Linked DNA regions of Sus scrofa. The protein of the gene in region 2 interacts with the protein of the main gene of each other region in a biochemical or structural test. Links are inferred from orthologs where the notes say so. Each region holds a gene or a part of one and is shown on either strand. Other genes may lie near its edges.

Region 1 (8,266 bases), on a different chromosome or scaffold from region 2:
GTCCGGACATGGTTCTTTCCCCAGATGAGTTACAGTCCAGCTGGGGCGATCAGACTCCTCCTCAAGAAACAATGAGAAAATGGCCAATATTTATTTATTTAATTTTAGGGCCACACCTGCAGCATATGGAGGTTCCCAGGCTAGGGGTCCAATTGGAGCTACCGCTGCCAGCCTACACCACAGCCACAGCAACGCCAGATCCTTAACCCACTGAGCGAGGCCAGGGATCAAACCCACAACCTCCTGGTTCCTGGTCAGATTTGTTTCTGCTACGCTACAACAGATATTCCCCTGGTTGGATTCTTAACCCCTGGAGCCACAATAGGAACTCTGAAAACAGCCAATATTTGAAATCATGATGGATTTACTCAGCGTATTCCTTCCTTCAGCCAAACTGAGGCAAGTAAGGCATGGCCTCTGCCTTGTGGAGATAAGTGTTTGGGGACAAACAGACACATAAACAAGGAACTCATCCCATTCAGTAGGTGCTGTCATGGATGTTAGGCACTCCTCCGCCTGGCTCCAGAGTCACAGCTACCTGTGGGAGTCCCAGTATGCTAGTTTCTGTCATTTGAGGGTGACTTACTTTTTCAGTCTCCTCGAGGACACTGCAGATGAAAAAACAACATCGTCTGCCCAAATCTACAGTTACTGGCAGAAAAAGGACCACAAATACAAACTTAATGGTGTCCAAACGTGACCCTTGACAGCATTCATCGTTTCAAACCTTTTTCTTTTAAGCAGTGGTGTGGTGCATTTGCAAGGGGTGGGGGGTCAAAGAGATGTCTTCAGCCTTCCTAGTGGGACAAGGCAACCCCCAGTGACACGCTTTGGGGTGTTCGATTGACATAAACAAACTGGCTGCTGCTCAGAAGAGTCTCAGCTAAGCCTGACGCAGAAATCTCTCCAACGGGAGACCCTGGAGGCAGGCACAGGGAGGGGCGCCCGTTCCTACAGGAACGCAGTTTGGAGCTTTTTATGTCTCTCTCTTTTTTATAGAGCCTCTAAATGCTAGCTGATGAGTATCTCCAAAGGGTAATTTAGAAATTACAGTTTTACGAAGGGCCAAAACAATGCCGGCCAAGTATGCAGGGCTGAACCCGGGGAATATTTAGAACATCCAGAGGAATGGATAGACTCCATGTCCCAAGGCAAGGCTCCAAAAATACCCTTTCTCACAAGTGGCTTTTTTTTTTTTTTTGTGATGTTTAGACAAGGGAAAAATCACATGGTGACCATCTAGGTAAGGAATCTAGAAGGCGAAGTTGCCGATTAGATGCCAATGCAGGGCACGAGACGGTCCTTGTCTTACCATATAGGAACCTGCCCAACACTGGGTCTACACAGTGACCCCCACACCATGCATGTCCCCCTTGCTCCTTGGCGCCACAGCGGTCTCGATGGAGGATGTCTCACTCCATGTCTCACCTTCACATTCTCCTGCAAAGGTGCCCGTGCTGGGCTGGAAGAGTCTTCCTGGGAAGGTCCCGGGGAGCTCAGGGCTGGGGACCTAGCCTCCCGCAGCTGGGTCTCATCATCGGGGTCTCCCCGGGGGGCCACTTCCGCAGCCTCTTTGTGGGTTTGCCTCCCCTGGTGGCACCCCCTGCTCTGGGCTCCTCTCCCACCAGGCTGGCCCGGCTAGTTGGAGGAAAGCCAAGGGCAGCAGGGAGACAGTGCGTTTCTCAGTAAGACTGGATGTTTAAGAAATATGCCCTGAAAGCAAAGCTCCTCACTCGGGAGACACTCAACCGGGGCCAGGGTAGGCTAGGAGAAGCCGGGCGAAGAGTCCCTGAGGCTGATGGGATTCAGATCCGAGTGCCGTTCTCAGGGTTTTATCTTGTACTTTTATCTGGCCAGTGGGATCTGAAGTCCCTTTTGCAGGACTGGAGGGCAGAGGGCGGGGCCAGCCCTGCTCTGAGACACTGTCAATCAAACGGATGGGAGAAAGCATCACTCATCACTCTAGCCCAGCTCACAAGTCCAAATTTCTAGCATACCTGAGCTTGTTCTGCTGCCAAATGGTGGCCCGAGACAACTCGTGCTGAACTGGTTGCCCACCACCTTGAGGGGCTGCAGGCTTCATCCCTGACTCAGGGGATGCCCCACCCATCGCCCTTCTCTCAGTCCGAGCAGCCCACCCCCTCACTGCGCCCACTCTCACATCTTTCTTGCGTTAAGGGGAATGCTGGGCTTTTGTCTCCCCATAACCAGGGGCTTAACATCTAAGGTCAAGTAGAGATCCTTCCCTCCAGGGACAAGGACATTCTAGGATGTGACTGGAAGTCACTGGGCATCCCCAGGGTCAGCACTGAGCATTGAGAGGCTTTGTTTACTTATTTGTTTTCTTTTTAGGGCCACACCCATAGCATATAGAAGCTCCCAGGCTAGGGGTTTGAATGGGAGCTGCAGCTACTGGCTTACACCCCAGCCACAGCAATACTGGATCTGAACCACGTCTACAGCCTATACCACAGCTCACGGCAATGCCAGATCCTTAACCCACTGAGCGAGGCCAGGGATCGAACCTGCATCCTCATGGATACTGGTCAAATTGGTTTCGGCTGCTCCACAACGGGAATTCCACATCACAGGAGGTGAACTCTAGTTCCCTGTGCTCTACAGTAGGACCTTGTAATTTGTCCATCCTGTATGTATTAGTTTGCCTCTGCTAGTCTCAAACTCCCAGTCCTTCCCTCCTCCCCTCCCCCTTGGCAGCCAGAAGTCTGTTCTCTGTGAGCCTGTTTCTGGTTTGTTGATAAGTTCATTTGTGTCATATTTTAGATTCCAATGTAAGTGATATCATATGGTATTTGTCTTTCTCTGACTGAGTTCACTTAGCATGAGAATCTCTAGGTCCATCCATATAGATGCAAATGGCATTCTTTCGTTCTTTTTAACGGCTGAGTAGTATTCCATTATGTATTTGTACTACGTCTTCTTTATCCAGTTCTCTACTGATGGACATTTAGGGTGTTTCCATGTCTTGGCTATTGTGACTAGTGCTGCAATGAACATAGAGGTGCATGTATCTTTTTGAATTAGAGTTTTGTCCACATATATGCCTAGGAGTGGGATTGCTGGATCATATGGCAACTCTTAAGGGTAAACTCTTGATGGGAGAAAGGAATTGTACCCTGTGTGGGTCTACTTGTGGGTTCCACCACCCAACGGGTCCACCGCTCATGGCTTCCCCCACTTATGGTCCCCTCCTTGGCCTCCTTGGCTGCTGAGCTTCCTCCTTCCTCAATTCTGCAAAGCTCTCCCGCAGCCCATCTCCACCAAGTTCCCCTGTTGTTTGATGGGAGAAAGAAGGTTGCTGCTTCCCTCGGGAACTCGTGGAGGTGAGAGCTAGAACGTCCCTCCACCCTGGACATTTGGGAACGTCGTCCCTTCATTCTTCCAGGCTCGGCTGGCTCTGGTTCCCCATCTTTCTACACCTCCCTCCCCTACACCCCCCCGACCTCGCGAGAGGAGGATGATTACTCACAAAGACCAGCCAGGCACGGAAATAGCCAACCTATTTGTGGCTTAAATGCAAGCAGTTTTATTTTTACAGAGAGTTGCTGTATTTTCTCTAAGTATAAATCATTAGCTACCGCAAGTGAAACTCCGGCTCCATCTGCGAGAGTTCCTGCTTTTGTTAGTGGTGCCAATTAGTCACAAAACAATCAGTGCCTTCTGCTGCCCACTCCCTCCGGGGGAAGAGAGTGCCATCTCTGCCAGGCTCCCCACCCCGCCCCACCCCAGCGGCCACCCCCACCCCGTAACTGCTTCCCCTACCTGGACCCCATCTGGCCACTCCAGGTACCCCTTCCTGCTGCCTGCTCCTCGTGCACCTTGTGATGGTTGCCAGTTTCCAGAGGGGTGCCTTGTGGCCCTCTGCAGGATGCACAGGCGCCCCTGTGCTGTTAGGAGCCGGGAGAGGCAACTCCGAGAGGCCCCGTGTTCTGTTGACTTAAATCATGACGTCGGAGCCTTCCTTTCTGTTGGCCCCACTGCTCAGGGTTTCACAGCCCCCGCGGGGACCGGGGGAAGTGCTCACAGGATCTGGGCCGTCCCTGGGCTCCTGGGAAGCAGCCGACGTGGAGCCCGGGAGCAGAGTGCCCCGCTGTCCTTCCGTGCTCTTTCCCTTCTGGTCCCTTCCTTCTCACCCGTGACCTTGGCGCCTCCTGGGCCAGCCTGTCTTTCTCCCCTCATTGCGCTTGCTTCCCAGTGTCTGATCCTCCGAGGGCGCCTTCCCCTCTTCCTGGCCATTCGCCTTAGACGGTGGTCCCGCTTTTCCCGGCCGCTTCTGATTTTCCTCTGGGAAATGTCCAGTTCTTCAGGAGGCTGACCCTTCCTCCCTTGGAACATCCAGAACAGGTAATGAGAACACACACACTGGCCTCCCAGGACTGAGCTCCCCCAACGTTTTGACTCGATGCACCTGCCTAACCATAGATGCCGCAAGCTCCCCTGGGTTTCCCTGTGGCTTGAAGGTCTATAGGGGCCGAGCCCTGGCCACCCTCTCCTCTTCCCACAGGAGGACACAGCCACAGGTCAGGTTTCACACAAGAGCCGCCTGGGTCACTGTCCGTCTTGTGCGTATGAAAGCGGTCCGAGGAAGGCTGCGTGTGTGGGTCGCGGAGCCTGCTTTCCCTCAGCATCTGAAGCTGCCTTCTTGCCCTCTTCTGAGTTAATCAACCCCAGGAGTCCACTGTTACTTTGACCCCATAACCGTGAAGGAAGGCTTCTGAAATAGAAGCAATAAATGCTGCTGTGAATGGGGGTCGGCGGGGAGGGTCTCACCGCAGGGCTTGGCTACAGAGACCATCCAGAACCTCTGGCTTGGCCTTGGCACCTTCACACCGGGTCTGCTGAAAAAGCGAATGGGGTCAGGGTGGGGGGAAGCAGCTTGACTGCATGGGTGAGAATGCACATCTAGCAGGGACAGTCTTTGAACCAGGCTGAAGATCACGCTGGGCCCCGAGGCTCCTCCACGCCTCGACCCCAGCCCCTGGGCTCCCTCTCCCTCCACTGCCTCACTCATACACACCCACGTGGGTGTGAGACGCCCTGAAAATGCACTGCAGGAAGGGAACGGGTATTTAATTGTTTAACAACCTGGCCCTCGCTGTGCAGGTGCAGACACATATCTCATTCAACCACCGTGAGTTTCCGTGGCCACGATTAGCTCCATTTTACAGGTGACAAAACTGAGTCTTCCAGAGCTTGGCGGAAATCACTGGGCTAGCTCCAGGCTGAGTCAGGAATGGGAGCTGGGTCCCTCTCGTGCTGCTACACACACACTTTTGCCCTTCCACGCGGCCCCACTCTGGGCCGTCTTTCTCCTCAGCCCTGACTGGCCCTCGTGGTTCGAGGGGGTCAGGCACCTCGTGTGATCATTAGTTCCCACTCGGGATCGGCATGAAGATTTTCACTGGCGTGTGTCACCGAATGATGCCATTTGAAGCACAGCTTCTGCTGATAAGCGTGGGACCATCTGCTTGGCACATCTCAAATATTTTCAGCAGTGGGAGAGCAGCTCCGATTTCTCCCGAGAAGGGAGGCTGCAGTCATCCTCGGAGGAGATGCTGGGACCGGAGACCCTGCAGGCTGGCGGGGCAGTGGTGCCCTAGGATGCGTAGGGCCAGCCTCCCGCCCACCACCCCTGCCTCTCCCTGAGCGAATGGACCTCGTGAGCCTGCACCCCGGTTTTGCCTTGTTCAGCGGCCCTTGACAACCAGAGTAAGCGTCCCCTCTTCAAAAAGCTATTGCCAGGCACCTCTTTCTGTGCTGGTTGTTTGCCTCTTGTGTTAGATGTTCGGTGTGTGTCGGCAAAGACCACTATTTTCCTGCCTTCGTTTTGGAAAATCTGCCTCTTTGCTACACTAGCGGTCCCTCGGACGGCGTTTTACAACTTCGGGGTTGAAACTTTCTGTGTTAACTTTTTCTTTTGGATGCGTAATGAGGGGGCAAGGACCTTAGACGCAATCTATGGATGCGGTGGTAGGTTTGAAGGTACTTGAGGTTGTTTGATGGGTTGTTGTACCTGCCAGAGCCATTGGGGTTGGAAGGGCACCGTATGGGATTCCTCCAGGGAAATGCTTGATGGTGGGAGGCGAGCTGGACTGATTTTCCCCTGCCTCTCCTCAGCGGGCACCGGCTTTTGTGTTGGCTTTTGCTGCTTATAACGGCAGGTGTGTAGCCTGTGCGGTGGCACAGTTCTGCTGAAAGGGCTCCCCTGCTCTTTGATGTGAGTGTCTTGGCCATGTTTCCCAGGCGGGCTGGGAGGGGGAAGCTGGGGAGAGAACGTGCAGGAGCTGGTCTGATGGCTCCGTAGGCAGCACTGAAAGGCTGGTGGCAAGTCTGCTCCAGGTGCCGCAGCCTTGGCACCATGACATCTGGGGCCAGAAATTCTTGGTTGTAGGCAGCTCTTATGTGCAGTGTAGGGTGTTTACAGAATCCCTGGCCCCAGCCCACGAGACGCCGGTAGCCTCCTCCTCTCAGTGTGACAATCGAAATGTCAACTATCCCCTAGGAGACAGAGTCACCCCCCGCCCCCACGTCCTTATGAGAAGAGGGCTCTAAGTTGACCCTGCTGTGCACTTGGAAAGGGAGCAAGAAGTTTCTGCTTCTCCATGCAGGTGGCTTCCGTGTTGGAGGCTGGGAACTGGTGTTTAACCACAGGCCAGATGTTCCTCCTGGCACATTCCTCCCGGATCCCGTACCTGCCATGGAAAGTCCATCTCCCAAATGGGTTTCTGTTTGTCCAGGTTTCTGCACACACACAGAGGGAATGGTTTGCCCTTGTCTCTGGAGCTGCACACCTGGAAGGTCCAGCCTGGAGTCAGGCTTCTCCTTTTGGTTGCCTAGAAACAAGACAAGGTTTCAGATGGCCCACCTCGGACCTTGATTTTGTTGGCTTCTCTCTCTTTTCCTGTCATTTCCTTTCTTCCTCCCTCCTTCCCTCCCTCTGGCCCTCGCCCACCCCTCCCTCCCTTCTGCCCTCCTTTCCTTCCTTCTTTTCTTTTAAGAATGATGTCATAGACTGGAATCCAGGACCCCGGGAGGACAGTAAGCATCTGAATGGGAAGGTGAAAAGGGATGCTTGCCTCTGAGATCTTTAGAGAAAATTGCAGCAAGCATGTTAAGTAGAGCATTTAAACTCTGCCTTATGCGTCCTTCCAGCGGAGCCCCCACTCCCGATCGCTACCCTCTTTGCTCCTTCCTGCTTTCCCAGCAGCGTCCCTGTCCAGCTGTTCTGCCCAACTTACATGGAGCCGTAAATGTAGGTAGCAATTTCAAGAAGACGGGCCAACCCACATCCTGCAACATCTGTGGAAACCACCATGTCTGTTTTCCTTGCTTGTCCATTTCTGGTCCCAGTGTGGCATTTCCATGAGACTCGCATGGGCAAGGTGTTTTTTAGTCTCTAGCTTTCCTTACGCCCCAGGCTTCCAGAAACACAGTAAATGATGTGCCAACTGTGTGAAGGGCCTGCGGTTCAGAGGGGCTGAGCTGCATGGCTTAGGACTCACATCCAGTGGTCTGTTGAGGGAGAGTGTGGCTCCGAGACAGAGCGAACTAGGCGCAGGCAGAAGAGACCATGGCCCCAGCAATGTCACTTGAACAACGACAAACCTCTTATTCAGACGTCTCTTTTGTACTCAGATGCCTTACTGCTTACAATTCTTTCGCCGTTTGCGGGAGGGGGTGAGTGTGAAGCATGGCTTGCGTGAGGTGGTGGAGCCTGAGCTGGTGGAGGACGCCTCCCTGGGGTGAGGGAGGTGGTGGTGACCTGGCCGGGCAAGGGCGGCATCTGCCTGGCAGGGGAGGGGACCTGGGGTCAAGTTCAGAGCTTCTGCTGGGTGAGGAGTACGTCCCAGGGCAGGACATAGTGGCAGTGGTGGCCTGACTTGAGGTGCAAGAGCCCAGCGAGGGGGGGAGGGCATCTGCGCAGGGCTGGGGGAGCGGCAGGTGGACGCAGGAGAGGAGGGATCGAATACGTGAACCCACTGAGGAGGACGGAGCCAGGAGCCAGGATCCAGGTTTCTCACCATCAGAGACAGGAATGACAAACACGGAGAGGAAGAAAACTCAGCGGAACTGTGTTGGATCAGATATTGGGGTGAAATCATTGGCATTCAATGCGTGTGTGCGTTTGTGTGGGGAAAGACGTAGAAATATAGATGCCAGGGTGTGTATGTACGACTGCACATGTGTCTTCACATGCACGTGCCCCTTAGCTCTGTGCCCTGGGAGGGCCTGAGAGCAGTGACACCGT
Region 2 (6,707 bases):
AATTTACAATGTTCTGTCAATTTCTGCTATACAGCAAAATGACCCAGTCATATATATATATATGTATGTATGTATGTATATGTGTGTATGTGTATGTATGTATGTATATATATATATAGTTTTTCTCATATTTTCTCATATTATCATGTTCTATCACAAGTGATTGGATATAGTTCCCTGTGCTACACAGCAGGACTTCGTTGCTTATACATTCTAAATGTAATAGTTTGCATCTACTAACCCCAAACTTTCTTTTTTTTTGTTTTTTTTTGGGGGGCACGCCTGCGGCATATGGAGGTTCCCAGGCTAAGGGTCGAATCAGAGCTGTAGCCACTGGCCTATGCCACAGCCACAGCAATGCAGGATCCAAGCCACGTCTTCGACCCATACCACAGCTCGTGACAACACCAGATCCTTAACCCACTGAGTGAGGCCAGGGATTGAAACTGCATCCTCATGGATGCTAGTCAGATTCATTTCCACTGAGCCACAATGGGAACTCCCCAAACTTTCATTTTCAACTGTAAATTTTACTAAATCTAAATTCCAATCAAAGATTTCCAATGAAAATCCATAATCTGAATAGAGACGTGCTATAAATATAAAATATACACCAGATTTTGAAGACTTAATATGAGAAAAAGTATAAAACATTTCATTAATAGATGTTTATATTATGTGTTAAAGTGATAATGTTTTAGATCTATTAGGTTAAATAAAGTATATTATTTAAATTATTTTCATCTTTTTTTTTTTTACTTTCAAAAATGTGGCTACTAGAAAATTGGTAATTACACATGTGGCTTGCACTATATTTCTAGTGGATAGTACAGGAGCAGAAGGTCTCTAAGATGAAAAGGAGCTCTGAAGTCAGAAAAAAACCCGTTGCTTTTTTTTTTTTTTTTTTTTTTTGCCATGCCCATGGCACATGGAAGTTCCCAGACCAGAGATCGAACCAAGCCACTGCAGTGACAACACCTTAACCCACTGGGCCACAAGAGAACTCCTAGACAGACTAGTCTGAAGTCAACCTCAGACATTTCATAGCTGTGTGACTTTGGGCAAGTCATTCTCCCCCTCTGAGCCCCAATTTCCTTACCTGTGAAATGGAGATTGCTGTGCCTACCATGCAAGTGTGTGGTGAGGATCCAATGAGGAAATATATACACAGTGCCTAGCCAATAGCAGGCACTCTCTAAATGTGAACTGTCGTTACTGTTGTCACTGTGATTTTCCAGACAATGCAAGCAAGTAGGACTTACATGCAGCCAGACTGGTATAGCTTCCCTCAAAAAAACGTTCCACAAAACACACACTAAACATCCCTCCTTCCTCAGGAAAGGGGTCAGAGACTCTCTAGGATGGTTTTTATTTAATTTTTCTTTTTCAGCCACATCCACAGCATGTGGAAGTTCCAAGGCCAGAAATCGAATCCAAGCCAAGCTGCAACCTATGCCACAGCTTCAACAATGCCAGCTCCTTAACCCATTGTGCCAGGCTGGAGACCCAACTGGCGCCTCCACAGAGACAAGCAGGATCATTAATCCCCTGTGCCCACAGCGGGAACTCCTTTATGATGGTTTTTAAATAGGTTCATAAATTCTTTGACATTCTTTTCTTCAAGAGGTGGAGACCAATTCCCCTCCCCTGGAGCATGAGCTGGGATTAGTGACTCACTTCTCATGAACAGAATAAAGTAAAAGTGACAGCATGTGACATCAAAGACTAGGTGATAAAAGGCGCTGTGCATTCCTCTTGGTTCTCTCTTCTGTGTCATTCGCTCTGGGGGAAGCCAGATGCCTTGTTATAAGCACACTGGAGCAGCCCTATGGTCAGGCCCATGGGGTGAGGAACTAGTGCTTCCTGCCAACAGCCAAGGGTCAGGAATATTAGAAAGAGATCCCCTAGCCCCAGGCAAGCCTTTAGATGAGGACAGCCCCAGCTGACACCTTAACCATAGCCTCATGAAAGACCCTGAGACAAGATCAACCCACCTTAGCCCCTTCTCAAATTCCTAATCCACAGAACTTGCAAGATAATACATGTTCATTGTTTTAAACTGCTAAATTTAGGGGTAATTTGTCAGGCCATTGTAGATAATCAATAGATTCTTTGGCCCTGTGGTTAAAGGTCTGCTCTACTTAGGGAAAGAGGCTCCAATCCTGGGTCTGGTCCATCTTGGGACTACAGGGGCCACCACATGATCCACAGGCCAAGACACAAACCACAGACACTGGGCCAGGCTCCCTGTGTGCTCACAGGCTGTTTATTTACCCAAGAGTAAGGGGGAAAGAGAAGATGAAGAGAAAAACCAGACGCCCCACGGTGGTGGGGCTGAGGGGAGAGATGAACGGAAAGGTTCCTCTTCCTCTTGCCATAGACCCGGGGGAACTCCAGCTTTGGTGGGGGGGTCTCGGGGGACAGTTTAGGGGCCCCAAGAAGGCCAGGCAGTTGTTGGCTGGGGTCAGGATCCCCACAGGGGCAGGTCCCAGGCTCGGAATGGCTTCTGTGTACAAAAAAATACCTCTCCACAAAAGGCACTGGTGGGGGGTGGGGGGGGTAGCAGAGAGGCTACCCCACCATGGGCAGGATCCACTGTGTCCTGAGTCTGGGTCCCAGTCCCCAAGACTATCCCCAGCCTCCCTTGGGGGCTGGGTCTCTGCATCCTTGCTCCTTTCCTCTCCCTTCCCTCGGCCCAGTGGTAAGCAGGCAATCCGAGGGCCATGTCAGGCCCCGTGGTGAACACCCCATCTTCAGGGCTAATGCGTCTGACAACCTCTAGGCCAGGAGCCCCAGGCGGGTGACTTTGGCTGAGAGGAAGGAGTGGATGATGAAGACCATCGTTTTGGGGCACGAATGCAGGTCCAGCTGCTGCAGGGTGGATGGAGAGAAGGGTCAGGAGCCCCAGCCAGCCCAGCCTCCAGGAGAACAGAGCCCCCATCCCCCTCCACTCACAATTTCTCCTTCAGGGCCCCCGAAGTCCAGGAAAAGGAGACTGGCACCATCGTCAGAAGACATCTGCAGCTTCTCAAAGGGCTGTCGGAGCAGTACAGCTCGGGCCGCACCTGGCTCAGCCGCCCACAGTGTGAAGCCTTTGTCAATATGCACCGAGAGGCTGCAGGGCCGGCCGTTCCACGTGCAGGCTGCGGGGAGGGCGAGGACACAGGGAGGGCATGTGGGCATGCGCAGAACGGCATCTCAGAGACCACAAAAGTGGGGCTTGCATGCCGCCGGCAGGTGGGAGGCTCACTGTCTGTCGTGCCATTTGTACACCCACCCTGTAGAGCATCACTCTCACTCTAAAATACAGAAGGATGTGCGGGCAGAAAATCTGTAGCCCATGTTCAGTCCCACTTCCAACAGGACCAAAGGTGGAAGAGGGAGCGTCAACTCTGCCAGGGACAGGAGGACCGCTCCCGATAAAGGCATCGGCAGATGCACCAAGCATGGCCTTCAGAGACCTTAGACGCCTGTAGACTCGCCCAGTTAAATGTGAATCTGACACAAGCAATGGAGAATGTGGACATATTTATACTAAACAATTATTTGTTATTTACCTGAAATTCAAATCTAAGGGGGTGTCCTGTATTTTTTCTGGCAAGCCTACTCCAACTGCCATCTCTCATATCCTCACCATCGGAGTCACAAAGCCAGGACAAGAAAACCCCCATGAGAAAAGAGGCTCACTACCTAGCAGGGCACCTGTACATCCAAAACAGAGGGCCCTCAGAGACCCCAAATCCCACTCTCTATCCCCCTCCTGAAGCACCCTAAAGAAGGCAGCTGAATGCCCCTGGGGATAAGAGGCTCACTGCCAAAAAGGCACTCCCAGATCCACCCAGCCCACCTGTAGACACCTCCTGCACACCCTCAGCGGCCCGGTGACAGCCATCCACCAGCTGGCGGGTCCAGGCAGCCAGCTCCTGCGGTGACTCCACGCTGAACAGGTGAGTGTCCACACCGTGGCGCGTGCCCGTGCGCAGGGCAAAAGAGAGCTCTGCATCGTAGGGCACCGAGCCCTTGGCGGGGCCTGAGTGCACCAGCCTGGGGGCAGGGGGCAGAGGGCCAGGCATGAGGCCTCGGGCAGTGGGGAAGCAGTTCTGAGCCAAGGGGGTGGTGACCTGGGAAGAGACCCTGCGACTCCTTCCCCACCTAATGGGGGACCAGGACTTTCAGACGGCCACTGATTGCGTCACATGAGATATCTCCTGCCACCCTCTCCCTCACTCCCTGGGCTCCAGCTGTACTGGTGTCTTCAAGCACACTTCCACCCCAGTGCCTTTGCACACGCTGTGACCTCTGCCTGGCACACGATTCCCTGATTACCTGCATTGCTTACTCCCTCACTTCCTTCGGTCCTTTGCTCAAATGCCATCTCCTCTGAGAAGCCTTCCCTGACCCCTCTGATTCAAACAGCACCCCTTCCTGTCATTCACTAACCTTATCTTTCTTGATAGTATCAGAAATTATAATTATTTTTATTGTTTCAGCTGACTTTTATTTTCAGGGCCACACCCATGGCATATGTTAGTTCCCAGGCCAGGGGTCAAATCGAAGCTGCAGGCTCTGGCCTATGCCACAGCCACAGCAATGCCAGATCCAAGCCACATCTGAGACCTGTGCCACAGCTTGCAACAATGCTGTGAGGCCAGGGATCCAACCTGCATCCTCACAGACACTATATCGGGTTCTTACCCCACTGAGCCACAACAGGAACTCCTGTTTCAGGTGACTTTTGATAGTCTTTTTCTCTAGAATACTATCTAGGGTACAGAATGTTGTCTAATTTTTACCACTATATTCCCAGCAACTAAAACAACACCAGGCATATACTAGGTGCTCAGTAAACATGTGTGGCCTGAATTAACGAGTCACTTGATTAGGTAGACAGACCATCCATGACTGCTTATCCCTAGTGGGGATAGGCGGCGGGTTCCTGACACATGCACCAGAGCCCAGCCCGGGGTGAGAAGACATGAACAACAAGGGCCCGGACTCTGCTGGCTGACTCCTACTTGCTGTGCAACTTGGGCAGCTCACTGCCCCTCTCTGGGCAGCAGACCTCAGAGTTCTGGCCCTTAACCCTCTTTGCCCCTCACTTCACATACTTTCTCTCATAGCTTCAGTTCCCCTTTAGAGCCACTTCTGATACTCAGTCCCCCACTTTCCAGCCCTAAGCTATAGACCCACAAGTCCCCAAGTTTCCTAACCAAGCTCCCTACCTGTCCCCCACACACTTTGGACTAACTCAGCTTCTTGTGCCAACCCCCTCCCTTTGTACACCACCCACAGCCCCACAGCCCACTCAGCACAAGCTCCCAACCTCACGTTTCTCCATTTATCCGGACACCTCCCGCACCCTTCCCATCTGGCAAGTCCTAAGCCCAGTTAATTTTACCAGCCCTGTGTTTTCCAATGCAAATGCGGCCTTTCTTCTCCATCTGTTGCCTCCACCCACCTCCACCCTCTCTCCAGTGTAAGTGCAGCAGCCTCCCGCTTCCATCCCCTCCTCCAGGGCATCTTCCACGTGGCAGCCACAGGGATTCTTTTAAAACACAACCTGAGCCACCTCACTCCGAGGCTAAAACTCCTCAAGTCTGCCCCAGCTTTTAAGATAAGGCTAACATTCCTTAACCAGGCAACAGAAGCTCTGCAAGATCAGGCCCCGCCACCCTTCTTTCCATTTCCTACACAGATTTCACACACTGGTTATAGGACATGTGTAGCTCCAGGAGCATGCACTGGCCCTTTGTGCCTCTGCACCTTGGACTATGCTGTCCCCTCTATGTGAGGTGCTTTTTCACCCTTTCTTAAATAGCAAACATCTACTCATCCACCAAAGTCCAGCTCCAATGTCACCTTCTGCCTGAAGCCTACCCCACCAGGCCAGGTAGAGTCAAGTGGTCCCTACAACTCTGGTCAAAGCTGTTCCTGGGTCAGTCTGCCTCTCAGGCTGGGTACCCCCTGAGGCAGAGACCATGGGGGTCAGCTATGCAGCACAAAATTGGGCGGAGTAGGTGACAACAAATGCGTGACTGGCAGGAACTCACATCCTTCTGTTCAGAGTTCCCATTTCACAGATGAGGAAACCAGGGCCCAGACAGGGCAGAGACTCAGGGCAGAATGGGGCTGGAGTCCCCAGCTTCTGACGTCCATCTAGAGCCTCACCCCCAAGCTCTGGGTGGGACACACACTCTTGCCTGTCCGAGGATACCTGGTGGTGATGAGCGGGGCGGTGCGGGCCGGCCGGCTCAGGGCCTCACGGGTCTGGGGGAGACAGTTGTAGAGGAGCAGCTCCTTTTCAGTCAGCAGGGCCAAGGTGGGTGCTGTACCCCCACTGGGCAGCTGCAGGGGGCAAGGCAGCAGTGAGGAGGGATAGGGAGGGGAGACATCAGAGGAACAGGGTGGGGTGAGACAGGGAGGGGCAAAGGGATTGGGGTCAGCTCCAGGAGAAGGGAGGAAAGGATAAGTTCAGGCCAGCTGGCACCTGCTCAGTCAGCCAGCCTATCTGCTTGATGTCCTGGCTCCCGGCTGTGCCGGTGGCTGACATCAGCGCCTGCAGCTCGTCTTTGACCCGGGGCACCAGAGCGTTGACCTGGGCTTGGATGGCAGCTGCCCATGACTTTGCGCTAGCCTCGTCCTTGGCCCTCAGGAATAGCGTGTCTTGGCCATCTGCTGAACAGATCTCCAGATACCTGCAGGCACAA

What was found. The genes of interacting proteins can lie anywhere in the genome.
Region 1: the proteins of SNTA1 (region 2) and MAS1 interact in a test that uses a peptide from one of them, tested with the Homo sapiens proteins (2 studies listed by BioGRID and IntAct). The link is inferred for Sus scrofa from reciprocal best matches to the Homo sapiens genes SNTA1 and MAS1.

Annotation. Positions count from the first base shown.
Region 1 is NC_010443.5:7,537,876-7,546,141, reverse strand, and holds the start of MAS1 (proto-oncogene Mas), read left to right. Parts: upstream 1-4,031; 5' UTR 4,032-4,362; intron 4,363-5,153; exon of another isoform or gene 5,154-5,727; intron 5,728-8,266. UniProt on the Homo sapiens protein: Receptor for angiotensin 1-7. Acts specifically as a functional antagonist of AGTR1 (angiotensin-2 type 1 receptor), although it up-regulates AGTR1 receptor levels.
Region 2 is NC_010459.5:36,915,039-36,921,745, forward strand, and holds the end of SNTA1 (alpha-1-syntrophin), read right to left. Parts: intron 6,696-6,707; coding exon 6,488-6,695; intron 6,346-6,487; coding exon 6,215-6,345; intron 4,045-6,214; coding exon 3,848-4,044; intron 3,144-3,847; coding exon 2,956-3,143; intron 2,872-2,955; coding exon 2,779-2,871; 3' UTR 2,238-2,778; downstream 1-2,237. UniProt on the Homo sapiens protein: Adapter protein that binds to and probably organizes the subcellular localization of a variety of membrane proteins. May link various receptors to the actin cytoskeleton and the extracellular matrix via the dystrophin glycoprotein complex.